Linked DNA regions of Oreochromis niloticus. Each later gene encodes a partner of the first gene's protein in a complex. Links are inferred from orthologs where the notes say so. Each region holds a gene or a part of one and is shown in the gene's direction. Other genes may lie near its edges.

The links.
Region 2: the proteins of robo3 (region 1) and protein kinase C-binding protein NELL1 are in contact, whole or in part, in a crystal structure (PDB 6POL), measured with the Homo sapiens proteins. The link is inferred for Oreochromis niloticus from reciprocal best matches to the Homo sapiens genes ROBO3 and NELL1. Residues at the interface, in NP_071765.2 of Homo sapiens: Ser553, Pro555, Val590, Glu592, Phe594, Pro596, Asn600, Thr601, Trp602, Thr604, Ile624, Leu626, Arg630, Gly633, Ala634, Trp635, Gly636, Leu637, Ser638, Glu639, Pro646, Val647, Arg648; in NP_006148.2 of Homo sapiens: Ala440, Lys441, Met442, His443, Tyr444, His446, Tyr458, Arg468, Val469, Asp470, Asp471, Phe472, Ser473, Asp478, Ile492, Cys493, Thr494, Asn495, Thr503, Cys504, Lys505, Pro506.

What each region holds. Positions count from the first base shown.
Region 1 is NC_031975.2:4,413,902-4,421,829, forward strand, and holds the start of robo3 (roundabout homolog 3), read left to right. Parts: upstream 1-4,916; 5' UTR 4,917-5,281; coding exon 5,282-5,456; intron 5,457-7,928. UniProt on the Homo sapiens protein: Receptor involved in axon guidance during development. Acts as a multifunctional regulator of pathfinding that simultaneously mediates NELL2 repulsion, inhibits SLIT repulsion, and facilitates Netrin-1/NTN1 attraction.
Region 2 is NC_031965.2:5,939,930-5,947,405, forward strand, and holds the start of protein kinase C-binding protein NELL1, read left to right. Parts: upstream 1-4,461; 5' UTR 4,462-4,733; coding exon 4,734-4,782; intron 4,783-5,260; coding exon 5,261-5,389; intron 5,390-7,476. UniProt on the Homo sapiens protein: Plays a role in the control of cell growth and differentiation. Promotes osteoblast cell differentiation and terminal mineralization.

The sequences.
Region 1 (7,928 bases):
GCTTCCCATAGGACTAACTGTAATAACTTCGTTGATTTGCCAAATTTATATCTGCTAGTGACATGAAATAAATGTTTCCACATGTCTAGTAAAGTATCTTTGCATTGATTGTATGGCTGGTCATCCAGTTCTGCATAGACATGGTCAGAAGGTCATGTGTCCTAATCAGTTTGGTGATCAGAACTTTAATTTAATCAGTATCACACTATATATCAAAGTCCCTGTTGTGGTCAGTTTTAAACCTTTGAGTTGAGAAGATTGGGTATCACCATCACCAGGAGGGTGGATCTGACTGAGAAACTGTGGGACTTCACACTTACATGATAATTCAAGAGAAAACCATTACATTCAGTTTTATTTATTACTTCCAGTTCAGCAGTCATTATTAAGGGTTTGCAGCAGTGACCTGAGATGACAGTCAAAAGGTAATCCTCTTTTTTCAATCTAAATGGGGCCATATTATATTAAATAAGACTGGAGCAGTTTGGTCATTTGAAATACAATGCAGGTGTAAGACACTTCCACACTAGCTTCACTTTTCAAATCCACACACTTGTCCATATTTTGCATGTAGTCTCTGGCCAAAATTCCCATTGTTAAATTCTGAATAGTAATCATGATGAAACCACCGTCCCGTGACTCTCTGTCCACCACAATCTAACCGTGGGTCTAAAAAGACTGCATTGTATTGATCAAAGGATTCGCACGGATAACTTCATGTTTTTCTCTTTGTAAGGCTGCGTGTGGATGCTAAAAGGCTTGTAAAGTGTGTCATAGCGAGACAGAGCGTTCCGTCCAACAGGGCGCTGACATTAATGACCCATCTGTATCCATCTCTGCATTAACATTTGTATGAAAGGCCAAACACTCAGTGTGTCACCACTCATCCCCCTTTTGATGGATTTGCATGAAATTTGGTTTCATGCCTCAAACCGGGATCCTCATAACAAAGCAAAAGGTCACCATGCAGATACCTGCTATTCAGCACCACAGTCACACTTGGTTAGAAAATGTCCAGCTATTAAATGAAATGGATTAAACTGAAATGAAACCTGTCTAAAAACAGGTGTTATTTTACTAAATGTTACTACAATTGTCGCAAATGCTTTTACTCTCACAGCACTATGGCTATTTAAGCTCCAGTCATGTTAATGACTAGTTTAACCTCAGTTTTTTGTTTGTTTGGCTGTTTTTGTTTAAATAAAAAGGCAGAAATTTGCAGGTATGAATGAGCAAATTTGCATTTCTTACACAAGTACCTACAGGTACAATATACTACTGGATTTTCAAATTCTTGATACCATTTTTGATACAATGGTGGAAAAAAAAAAAACAGCTACAGTTATGGTAACTGTTTAACACAGTTATCCTGTAACTGTTAAATTAAAACCCCATCATCTCATATTCCATGACTTTTCCTGTTTCAGAGTGTTTAGTTTTTTTAGCCTAATTAAAATACGTTATCCAAAATTCATTTTTAACTTTTCATAATGTTCTTCTGCAATAATTATGTTTTTCAGATGTGTTATTATGTTAGCTTTTGTGTTATTTTTTGTACCACTAGTTTATTACATTATTCTAATGAGCATTTTAACTTTATGATCTGTAATTAAATGATCTAAATCACTGATAAAAATAATAATAACTCAGAAAAATGTTCCTGTCTTACTTAAAATTAAAAAAAATACATGCAAATTGAAAGCTTAGCTTTTTCAAGAAATAACATCTTTGCTGTTGCAGCTGTTGTTGCAGGAGAGGTCAACATGACTTGCTGTTGCTAAAACAGGGGCTTTTCTGATCTCGTGAAATTCCATAGTCATCCTTTAAAATCCTTTATCGAGTCTGTTGTGCTACTGCTTGTGCGTTCTGCTGCTAGTAAAGATAGGGTTATGTACCTGCCTGTCTGCCGCACTGAGTGAAATTGTGTGTCAGCCGGATGAGGCAGAGGGCAAATTGTTGCAAATCAGATCTGGATCGGTGAGTGCAGTTATGCATAAATGCAATCTATTTGTAACTTTGTAACTTTTTGAAGAGCAAAAAGAACATTCCAAGCAGTAAAAAGTACTTACTTGTACCATGAGGCAATACTGTTAGATTTGAACGTTTTATTGTTTATGAAAAACATTGAATACACTCTGACAAGTTTCATTAGGTATCTCTCTCATACAGTACTATGTAAAAGTCCTCATTTTCTCATTGCACTCATAATTTGGTCATTATGAAATATGTATAAATGTAAATACAGTATAAAAGACAAAAACTGAGTTTCTACAGTTCTCTCAAGCGTGAATGTCAGTGTTTATAGTTCAACACAGCTGACTCTCCCACGTTGCAGGCTTAACAGCTTAGACAGTCCAGCGTAAAGTAGCAGGAACATCTGTGCCACATTTGGATTAGAAGTAACCAACTCCCGATGGGACACACTGCTGAAGGTGGTTGAGAACGACAGAGCTGAGGTCCAGACAGACAAGCAGCTGCTGGCCAACCAATCAGATGTAGCGTTGGTTGACATGGAGCAGAAAATTACAGTTTGAAATATCTTAAGAAAGCCTGGAACACCATTTTTCCTGATCACTTTTAACTTTTGCACTATCAGCAGAATCGTGGTGGAGAGGTTAACAGTAATCTTTCACAGCAACATCTTTAAGGGTTTTCACCGTCCTGTTTGCTGGGGATTCTGTTAGTAGACACAGCTTTGAGTGATCACTGTAGTAGACTCGCTCTATGAAAGAGTACAGTTAGCGGTGCCAGGGGTCAGGGCCCAAGCCACTGAACTCCTAAACATACAAAAAGCTATTTTATTCCATGTATATAATAAGTGAATGATATGTAAGTGTATGATCTTAAACTCCAGATGTAGTGCATTCTTTGACATCACACAACACCAGACATAAAATATAGGAATGTGTCACAATTTTAGGTATTTTTACCATGAACAATCAGTAGATTCAAGAAAATAAATATCAGATGAACTGAAAAAGAATATGATGCTACTTTTATTTATTCACACAACAGAATGTTTTAAAAGCACCATCTTTACACTGCAGAAATGATATGATCATGAAAATGGCAGCTTCCATGGCCGAGGAGAGTCATTACTGAGAATTACGAGTGGCTAAGGAGAGCACCCAGGGAGCATGCAATCATTGACGTATATTTGTAGTGGCACTTTGCTGCTGCCTCATTAGTTTATGTTAGAAATAAAAAGTGGCAATAAGAGTTAACATGGTCAATGCCACTAATCTGAAATAGAGAAGACTTATTTCTTCATGTAATATGCCAGGACTTTAGACATATCTAATTATATATAGACTTTCAATGTGGTCCATACTCATCATTGAAACTCTTTGAAGCACATCCATGTAAAATGCTGGAACAACCCGACAAGATAACATGATTCTCATACACAATGTAGCCTGTCAGTGGCTATCGATTCTCCATTGCAACTCAGCCTTCTTCCATAGCATGCCCATATTGAATGCCCATTAACACTGTATGTGTGGATTTAGCTGGCACACATGTCTCATGAATAGAAAACAGCTTAAAATAAAGAGTGACTGGAAAAGACACGAAGAAGAGGGCGCGGGACGGGGGTCGTCACGGCATCTTTGTTGGTTTGTTGCCTCCCTTTGTCACAGTGATGGAGCAGGAGGACAGGCCCCGGATGGTGTATGGGCATCATTAATGGGAGTCACACTGAGGCTGTCAGTGGGGTGTCCAGGAGCCACATGTGACCGTGCTGCTATGATCGCATGTGTGTATCCATGATGATATGCAGACTATGCTTTAAGAGCTATAGCATGCTTGAGCATGAAGGCATGTGATTACATTTCGTTCATCCATATAGACACAGGATAGAAACAGGATATATAGTGGTTGGCCAACACAGCTAAAAGAAACTGCATTATAGAGGGGCTAAGTCATGCTATTATGAAGCAGATGCTGCTTTTTTCAACAAAAAAACTCAAAAAAATATCTGGATCTTTACCTAATCAATAGTTAATGTAAGCATTGCTTTGATCTGTTATTTTACTGTATATTGTAAACTGATAGTTAAAGTTTGCAATCTTGTGATTTATACAATTTAAAATGAAACTAAATTAACTGGTAAACATTATTACAATATCATTGTTTCTTCACAGTAAAAAGTGTTAAATAAAGTTTAATTAGCAATTCAGCATTTATTAAAGATGGCTGCTATAAAGTGTTATTATTATGTTTGCTATGCATGTTTGAAAATTGCAGAGTTAATTGCTGAGTAAGTAACGTTTGTTTCTTTTCACTTTTTAAAAATTAAATGAATTAAAATTTTCTACTGCTTAGTTTAAAACAAACACTGATGCTATAGGATAGGATGCTGTAGCCAACTTACACTTTACTGCTGAGAAAGTCATTTTAGAGACAGATCCACTCTGGTATTTGTTGATGTGGACAAAGGAAAAAGTCTGCATGCAATGTGCTTTGAAAATGTGGACCAGCAGGAAACAAACACTGCCAGCAGGAGTTTAGTTAGTCCCAGGTTTGTTTGTCCAACACATACTGTATGTGTTCATTTATGCATATGTGATGACCTTTTTTGGATGTATGGTTAAGACAGTGACGGTGCGTCTTTTCACCTCCTTTTCTCCACCACCCTGATTCACAGCCTCCTGGGATGATTATTAATCTAATAATTAAACATTTATTGCCAACAGCACCTGCTCTCTCTCGCTCCTCAGAAACCCTCAGGACCCCACCGTAGAGAGAGAGCGCGAGAGAGGAGGAGAGCTGGAGAGGGAGGGAGGGACACAGGAGGAGCCAGAGGGAGGGGTTGGAGAGAGGAGAGCAATTCGAAAGGGTCATCATCACATTGCTGGATTCTTTTACACCAGCGAGAAGCTGTTGTTTTGTATGGCGGCAGACAGCATGTGAAGTTATTTGATCCCAGAACAAAAGAAACAAGGAGGAAGGAACAATCCGATGCTGGGAGGGATTCACAGCGAGGGGCCCCCTGACTCAGTCTGACATCTACAAGCAATTAATCTTCTTATCATCTGACTTCTTTTCACTCACTTTTATTTTTTAATCAAGATTTCTCAGCTTTTTTTCTTCAAAATGTTTGGAAATGTCTGAATCAACTTGAGATGAAAGAGTATCTCTTTAGCTCTTCTTAACACCGAGTAAGGAGGAAAAGCAGATTCAGCGGGAGGCAGAGTCACACTTTTAAAATTAACAGAGTGAGAGAGACAGTGAGAAGTACAGAGAGCAGAGAGGGGGAGTGCAGGTCCCTCTGTGCACCACAATGCTGCGCTACCTGATCAAGACCTTGTTGCAGATGAATCTGTTCACAGACACCATCCGAAACCCTTCCAATGGAACTGACGTCTACTTCAACGGCTCCCTGCAATCCTTCAACGGCTCCCTGCCGCCCTTCAACAGCTCGCTGTTCGAGTGGGGAAACTTCACCGGTTTCAACGGTAAGTGCATCTTCCCCTCTTCAACCTCTTCAAAACACACATGGCATTCTTGAACAAGACACCTGGATCTCTTTTGCAAAGCGGATCTGAAACTGAAAAGGAAAATGTGACCTCATGTGAGGTCACTGGAGATAAACGGATGTGATGTCAGGATTCATATCATTCATATACTCCTGGACACTTGTGTCCAGGAGTATATGACGATCAGCAAACATAAAGTGTTGTTACTAGACTGTAGTAGAAGGTGTTAATATTTAAGCGTAAACTTTATGATATAAACTTTCTAATCACATGAATATGTCCATCCTTCAGTTACCACTGAACCAATCCTGCATCCTCACTTGCCTCATGATTTCTTCTTACAGGGAAATAATAAAGGGGAGTTGGGGGTCAGCAAACTGGGATCACATACTTGTCAGGGTGTTTTTGTGGGCTGTGAGTGAAATGTGACAGAGACAGTATTACCCAATAACACCGCCTATTTTGCAGAACTGTGAGTGGCAGCCTGCTCACTCTGCTAAATGAAGCTGTCTGCTGTCAGCCACGATGTACCCAAACTGTCAGATCTCTTTAACTTTCGCCACCAAGCTCCTCTTTACCCAGTGATGAAGCTCAGTGTTAACAGCTGTGTTGGCTTTGTTTTGTTCTTTTTGCTCTGGGTGAAATTTATTAATGTCCGCTTTTTACCGTTCTGGAAGGAGTTTTGTTGTTAACAAACGTTACGTTACATACTGTATATATATATATCTATATATATACATATATAGATATATATATAGATATATACATATACATACATATATATGGAGAGAGAGAGAGAGAGAGTGTGTACAAGGGTAGAGTTATGTCCAGAGATTGGCATGATGTCTGATTTAATGAGCACCATAGCTTTGTCTCCATGTCATCGCATACCAATGAAAGCTGCATTCAGACACACGCACACACACACACACACACACACACACACAAACATCATTGTCAGACCCATCTATCACATTCACCATATGTTATTTACCTAAAAAGAAATGTGATCTTTCTTTTATCGCTCAGTCCTGAGTTGGTAAAACATCCAGCTGCTTCTCAGCTCGACTCTACTGACTAACGGTAAAGAGGGAAAGCTACAGAAAGGTACACACTCTTTGTGATGCCTTGCGTGGGTGTATACTGTCACAGAGGGGAGTGACGCTTCCCTTTGATGAGTGGACATGGGTGTGAAAGGTGTATTTGCTTCTGAGCCCCACATTCCCTCCTCCCTCCTGTCCCCATAGTCAGCTTCAAACAGCCTCAATAATGCCAAGTTTATAGCTTCTTTTTCATTGCAATCACACTTCTATTTCTCTCTCTCTTGCCATCTGTAAACTCTAATGGAGTGTAGATTGAGTGTTTGTGGGGTTCACTCCTAAAATCTATAGAGAAAGTAAGCAGGAGAGGCAGCAATAAATCTATTGAGGCTGGAGCAGAGAAACACAGTCTGATAGGCTGATAGACAGACATGCCTGCTGTGCATCTCAGCCTCATATTCTTGGGAATCTTCCTCTGTAGCTCACAGAAATTGAATCCCCCCCTTTAGTCTTTAAGTGATATAGATATATTCAGGCAGCCACTTGAGGACGTGTGGGGTTAGATGTAATATTTTGACTAATCAGTGATCAATGATGGACGGTATAAAAGCTTTTTCCTTTTGTGAACATGTCACAGAGATGTGGATTGACTATATGAAAGGAAAGAAAACGATAACCTCTGATATCTAAATTACATCCTACAAAAGTAATCATCGTCCAGATTTGCACTGCAACCCCGCAAAGACACATACATATTTAAAAACCATAATAGAGACATGTTTTCCTGGCCACCATGTGCTGATTCATCACTGGGGAGGGGATGGGTGGTCAAACTGTGGGTATCCAGGCGAGAAGCTCAATAGCAAGTCAGTGGGCGGACAGCTCGTGTGGGTCAACCTGGAGCTCAGAGGGAGGCTCAATGGGAAAATCAATGCAGCCCAATAACCAATTTGGGAAATAATGGACATTTCAGTCAAACACAGCACTATAGTGGACTGCTGGTACATTTATCAGTTCATTCACTTTCTGCCTCTCACTCTGTCTCTGTTTCTTTCTTTATCACACCTCTTCTGTTGACTGTTTCTTTTAGCTCCTTTAACTGACAGTCACTAATTGGGCTTCATTCATTTGCAATTGATTGTTGGAAGCTTGTTTCTTATTATATTTACAACTTTGCGTCCTTATGTTGTTGTTCAATTTGGTTTCAGATTAATTTATTCAAAAGATGTTGTTTGGATGTTTTTAGTCATTTAATAAAGAACGAAAAAGTGACATTTATTTTTGTCATAAATAATGAACTTTAAATAATTTTTCCCTGAATCGATGGATTAAAACAATAGCTTCTCTGCTGCTGCACTCTGGCTCCAGCACCAGACTATGGAGATGCATTCATAATCCATAGGAGACTTCT
Region 2 (7,476 bases), on another chromosome or scaffold:
GAGTTGGTGTGCTCTTTTTTGTGTTAACGCTAGCACAGGACCACTTCATCTCACTATTCTACTGCCTGATGTCCAGGAGTAAATAGGAAAGGACAAAAAGAAATACTAAGCCCCTCTCTCATTTTAGCTAGTTCTAAGTCACCTCCAGACTTTTCCAGTTCTTGTAGTGAAGGTTTTGCCACTGGTGTATATATTTGTTTCCTCTGCCAAATTACAGCAGTCCTAGATGAAGGCTGTCAAGCATGGGAAAGAAATCAGGGCGCCAAGCCCGGCATGCAGAGCAGTGACACTCACGAAGGCACATCCGCCAGTCTGCTATAGAGCTACAAATTTGGGCATTGCATAGGGAGTACTTTAACTCTGTGATTAATGGGTAATGATGGGCTTTCAGCAGACACAGCGGGACACTGCTGCATGGCTTTATTCCCTGGGCTGTAATATTCAGGCAGTCGTTCAACAAACGCTGCTCATCAGAAGCTTAGTTCTTCATTACACAATGTACACTATATTTCTTTTCATGTCTGCCAGGGTTATCACATACAAGAAGATTTAATCTGCTGAAAAAGATAGTCAAAACATAAGACATAAAAGTTGTCTGTGGATGTTACAGCGCAAACTGACTAACTAGAATAAAACTTGGATTTAGCTTCTGGTGTCAGGAGCTGCAAATGAGGACTCCTTGTGCTTGTGTTATTTTCTTGAACAGATGTTTATATCACCTGCTGTGTGCCAGCAGAATAATTTTAGTATTTTCAGTCATGATTATTCATTTTTCATTCAGAAATACAAATACAAATCTAATACAAAACAACAATCCCCAGCCACAAGTTGTTATACCAAAAAAACAAACAAAAAAAAAAAACGCTTTTTAATACATAGCTCTACATGTTTAATTTAGCATGGTTTTACACTAGATGCCCTTCCTGACACATCCCCAAAGGGGACTTGCATCTCCAGCTGGAAACAAACCAGCAACCTTTCGCTTGCCAAGCAAATGTGTTATCCACTAGACCACAAGTTGTCACACCAGAAAGTAGCTAAAAAAGGATAAAGTTAATGCTGTTGAACACCTTTGTTACCACCCATGATGTGGAACGGCCGGACTCTAGCAGTTCATTTTGAGAATACCCACCAATGTTGGAGAGTTGTGAGTTGCCTCCTGAGACCTGGAATTGTTTAAAATGTCTCCAAGCTGATATGCAATAACATTTATTGGAAATGGTTGCAGATTTTACTTAACTAAATTTTATATTGCAGGCTTTACAGCAGGGTACAAACTGCTGGTTACACTAAAAAAAAACAAAAACAACTTTTCCTGCAAATATCTAAAAGGGTCTGCAACGTTTTTGGAACAAAAAAGAGATAAAACATTGGACAGATGAAAATAAGATGAACTTGAACCAGAATGATGGAAAAAGAAAAGTGTGGAAAAGGAAAGGAACAGCTTGAGCTGATGCATATTACATTATCTGTCAAACATGGTGAAGACGATATGATGACATGAACATGTTCAGTAGAAAGTGGCAGTAAATACTACTGGAACTGGGTTGCCAGTGTTTATTGATGATGTGACTTTTGATAGAAGCAGGAGGATGAATTGTTAAGTGTACAGGGGTCTACTCTCTCCTCAGATTCCGCCAAATGCTTCAAAACTGACCGGATAGCACTTCACAGTGCAAAAGGATAATGACCCAGAGCATACTGCAAAAACACCTCGGGAATTTCTCAAAGCAAATAAACAGGACATTTTTTAATAACCAAGTCAATCACATGATCTCAACCCAACAAAGTATACTTTTCAGTTATTAAAAATGAAATGCAGAGAGAAATGAATACAGACAGCAATGGAAGGTGGCTGCAGTAAAGGCCTAGCAGAGCGCTGTATGTCAAGGTAACACAGATGATATCCATGTTCTATGATTTAGACAGTTTGCTCCAAAGATTTTCATCCAAGCATTAAAATACAATGTAAATGTACATTAGTTTGTCCAGTTAACTTGAGCCCCTGAAAATGGGGGTGCTGTGTATAAAAATGGCTGTTATTACATTTGTTATAATCATTATTTGTATGTCACCATCAATTGAAGCTGAAAGTTTGCATTTGAATTGCATCTTGATTCTTTGATTGAAAAATCCCCTGTGGTACACAGATGTAAAATTACAAAATTCTGTCATTGTCCAATAACTAATGGACATTACTTTATATAAGAGAAGAAGCTAATAGTTCTGTAATATATCTCAGAGCATTTAATGTGCTGCAAATGTGTGAAAAAGGGAGAGAGTGAATAGTCTTCACAGATGTTACAGGATCATCTGCCTGTTGCTGCTGTAAACACTCTGAGAACTCTGCACATTCTGAGTAATTCCTGTACTTATTTTGTAAAGAACTACACCATGATTTCATCGTATTTCTAACACTGTCACATTGACTGAAGCACTCTTCTAGCTCCAGGGGGTTTTTTTCTGCCCAAAAACCACTTTTTACCATTTTCCTACAATCTCACTGTCATCCTTTAGGTTCATTTGTCTACCCACCTGCTTGCAAACCTCTTTTTGATGTCCCATAGATTTAAACTTAAACAAGCATATTATTTTCATCTGAAAGCTCTTTTGGTTGGGAAAATGAAATAGTCATTTAGTTATTTACCATTAAAAAAAAACTAATCTAAGCATTCCTAAAAGCAGATCACATAGTATTTGCATTTTAAATAAATTAAAGAAGAAAGTCTGAGGCAAAGACACATACTGAGCAGGAGATTGTGTTTGACATTTTTTTGTTGCATCTCTTTCCCCTCACCCCCAATCAGTCATGGGAGATGGCCGCCCCTCCCTGAACCTGGTTCTGCCAAAGGTTTCTTCCTGTTAAAAGGGACTTTTTCCTTCCCAATGTCACCAAGTGTTTGCTCATACAGGGTGTCTGATTGTTGGGATTTTCCCTGTATTATGATCTTTACCTTACAATATGGAGTGTCTTGAGGTGACTTTTGGTGTGATTTGGCGCTATATAAATCAAACTGAATTGAGTCTAAGATTATCTGGCACTATTTTTAAATTTTTCTTTAATTTGCTACTCAGTTGCAATTAGGAAACAATCGTGATTTGGGTTAAAATCGATCATTTTGCAACATTAAACATAACTTAGTATGCTCATTTGAGTAATTCTGCCCAATTTCATGATACAGGTGCATGTTTACGGTGTATTTCACATAAGAGTTTAATTGCTAAAATAGAACTATATGTTATAACCTATAGCAAGCATAGACTTCTAGATTTAGATAAACAGACTGCCAGTGTAACTATCAAGCTACAGTAGATACAAAGAGTAACAGAGTGCAGGGAGAATCAACTGACCTGACTTTGTCCACAGGTAATAAAATCTGCCTACTAGCACCTCTGAGCTCACTACGTGCTTGACTATTGGCAATCGACAGAGGCATTTCACGTGAAAAAGAAATGTCAATGAATTAACAGAAATCTGTATTAATCTCACACAGACACATTCTTTTCCTAAATTTTCCTCGGCTGCCTGTGGGTGGGAATAGGAACCCCTACATAAATTTGCTGTGCTTCAGTAGATAATTCCACACATGATCCTGATATTTATAAAGAAACAACAGACGGATAAATAAATGAAGTGGACAACACTGTGCATTTTAATTGGCTTTCTTTTCCCTCCACTTAATATTTTGAGAGGCAGGAATTTTGTAGCCTGTAAACACCACCGCCTATCTAAAAACAATTTAAATTCTCTTTCCCTCCCTTTTCTGCTGGCTGCTCTGCAACCTGTAATTTCAAATTACATGTTGTTTTACCCTTCAATTTTTTCGGGTTCTGGATCAGTGGATAGGCAGTGTTGTTTACAGTCTAATTTGAATAGGTGGAGGAGTGACCTGCATCCCAAAGCACCGTCCCCGGTGTGGAAAAGGCAAGCACTGTTGGAGCAGGCGATGCATGCTGCTGCAGTCTCTGAGCAGATACCTCTGTTCTTGCCCTCCCTAGTTTGAGTTGACGCAGGTAACCCAGACAACCTGACAATGTAGACAAAGTGAAGGCAGGCAGGGGAATGGTATGATTAATGGACCTCAATAAGGACAGGCCCCAGAGGAAAGAGCACTGGAGCAGCAGGGATTTTCTGAGTTGGGAGAGTTGTGACGCAAATTCTTGTTATACAAACTTCTCATTTAGAGAAGACTCCCTGAGCTACGGTATGTTCATGTGGCTAATATAATGGGCTCCACTTTGTGAACTGCTGTGTCAAATTGCCCCTTGAGGCTGGAAAAAAATCTTTTCTCTGTTGTGACAAATAACAGCAGCCTTCTACAGACATTCCCCATGTCCTCCACTCACCAAGTTCCCTTTGAAAACCCTTTTCTCACCTCCAAAAAACTGGAAGTTTCTGTTGTCTGAGCGGAGGGGAACTTCGCAGTTCGATTGATGAGAATATCCTCGAATTTCATATCGGCAGCTCAGTTTAATAGGAGTCGCACATGAACGCGGATGTGGGTCACTTTTAATGCCGTCCACAAACTGGCTGGATACGTTTAAAGCCCATTAACTCTCCCTGTGTTGTAATTAGAGAACCCCTGCTCACGGATTGTGGACCATTCCTCCGTTCCTCCACATCCAGGCGAAGTGAGAGCGGCGCAGAGCACCAGACGGACCGGAGCGGGTTAGTGTGGGTACACGGAGGCGCGTTACACTCACGGACTCTGTACATCGCAACTCCAACACAAATGGATATTTACGTGGCTCTGTTATCCCTTTTCTTTTTTACCTCACCAGGTAAGCACAAAGCCCGTGTTCACTCTTGTAGCATCTTATTGTAGCAGAAGCTTTTTTTTTTTTTTTTTTTTTTAAATATTTATATATATATATATATTTTAATTTCTTTTTCTTTACGCTTCCCAGTTTGCACATTGAGCGCAAGGATTCCAGAATTGTGGCAGTGCCTTTAATTTTTCAGTATCGTTTCATTTATTTTTATTTTCAATCACCTACAGTTTGCAGAGTTAGAAGACAGGTGATGGTCGTGGACACATACAGCGCTTTCCCCCCTTTCTTTTAGTGGGCAGCCTTAGCAGCATCTTTCGTGAAAAATAAAAACTGCGTGACTTTTTCCACAACCAGCCATTTTAAGTGGATAAATGCAGAAAGCAGTGACCGCGTCTGTGTTTAAAGTGAATCAACATTGTAGTTAAAACACTGTCAGCTACACTTCTGTCAGCAGATTGTCCTCTAACCTCCAAATTCTCTTCCACAGCTTTGGCTTTCGGTTCAGATCAAGACTACCAGATTGACATCATCAATGAACTTGACCTGGCAAATGCCACCTATGGAATTACCCAAGTGGCGGGTCTTCACAACAGCAGCAAAGCCTTCCTTTTCCGAGGTAATGCATGCACTCTGATCGTGTTTTCTCCATCAGTCGCGCTGCTGAAGTTCAAGAAATATCTTTGTCTTCTCTTTTTATAATTACGCACACTCACTCGCGCACGCTCTTTGTTTATTAGTAAGTGTGAGGAAAGCCACACGGCGCCACACCTTTTGGTGTCACCGGATTAGCGGGGATGCTGAGAGAGAACACTCCGGGGAGCCTCTCTCATAATTACTCCACTCTCATTTTGTCCCATGCAGCAGATGCTCAGACTCTTTCAGGCACGCTGATGCGCTTAGTCTGTGTTAGATATCTCCAGCACTTTGATTGCTCCCAGTGATATCCACTGCCTAATGCCAACAACTGGTGGTTAATGGAAACCAGGCTGCTTTCACTGTGAGGATCCTGAAGGACGCACAGCATGGCTACAGCATTTAAAGACTAAAAGGAGAAAAATGCCAAACTCAAATGGCAGTAGTTTAAAAATAATCAACTAGTTTAAATTAAATTTGAGCTTTGTTGTGGTTTGAGAGGGCTTACCAGTGTCCCCAAATTGTTTTCCTATGCTTTGCTGGCTTGCTTCTCTGCACTCCAAAAAAAAGACTGTTTGGCACAACTCATCTTCCTGTAGTGCCGTCAGCTTTGCAGAGGCGGAATTGTTAGAGTTGTGGAGGAGAGAGTGTGATGCACAGCACTGATAGGAGAGAGGAAGAGAGTCAAGATTACTAAGAAAGTTACAGGAGAGTTTTTTTTAGGCGATGAGTTGCTCTATATGTGTTTGTGTGCTTTGATTCCTTCTTCTGCAAGAAAAGTTATCAGCTATTGAGTGAAAATCAGTCTTTGTTCATGTTTTACTTCCCCGATATTCAAAGAGGCTTCAAGTCGTGTGTGTGTGTGTGTGTGTGTGTGTGTGTGTGTGTGTGTGTGTGTGTGTGCGTGCGTGCGCACGCGCGTTTGTTGGAGGTAAACTAGTGAGTCTTTTTTTCTTGCATTACTATTCAAATTTAAAGATATGGGCATAAACACCAGCAGCTTGAATTCAAATTCAGTAGCTCTGGGTGTTGATACTCATATAAAGCAGAGTGGCAGTGTTTTGTGTGTATCTGTGTGTGTGTGTGTGTGTGTGTGTGTGTGCGCAAGTAGTTTTATTTTCTAGAGGGTTTGGCTGGATGAGCAACTGGCCCTGTATGAATGAGTGAAGAGAAGCTTGGCCAAGTCTTTCGAGTTGAAGCTATCCAAGATTCAGGGCTGGTGGCCATATGGGAGCCTTACTTTTTACACGGCCCACACAGGCCTACACTGCAATCCTACTCCAAGCTCTTCTCCCCACAGTTTCTAGGCTTCCAGGGTCGAGGTGCAAAAGCCAGATAGGAAAACAGGGGGTCGATCCAATGGGGAAAACTGGACCTGTGACTGCTGGAGAGGATGCTTGTGTTGAAACCTATTTAACACTTTGCCTAAACTCCCACTACTTTCATGGCCCTGTAACCCAGATGGCTGCAGCCAAAGATGTAGCAATTACTGGGTCTCTGGTGAAATAAAAGAAAAAAAAAGTTGATTCTTGAGCCACTGTAGCTGATTGGGTCAGTGATTATTCGAAATGACCTATTTACATTTTGAGCAATCATATTGTGCTCTGGTCGGAATCTATTTCATTTGTTAGATTGCATAAGTTGTAGACTATCGTGAAATTGAAATGTTGGGTAAATGGCTGGAAAACTGGGGCAAAGCGGCGTTCCAGTTAATGGATAATACTGAGGGGAGTGTCTTTGGCTGGTACCAGTCTCAGCATCTTTCAGTTGGCAGTTGATTTAAAAACAAAAAAAAAAACAGATGGTTTTCATGAGAAAATAGGTTTCAATATCACTTCTCTGTTATTATAATATTAACGTATCAGCACACACTGAAAGCCAGTTTCTGAGAGACAAGCAGGTGCAGCCACTGCTAAAAGGTTCTTAGTTGAATTTGAGACTTGATGCTGTGATGAAAAGAAACACAGATGCTAATAATGCTCTCCACTGTGCGCTGAGAGCAGGGAACAAAACTCAACTAATTTCTAAGATCTCTGCATATTTTTTTTTTTTTAAATTTTGCACCTTTTA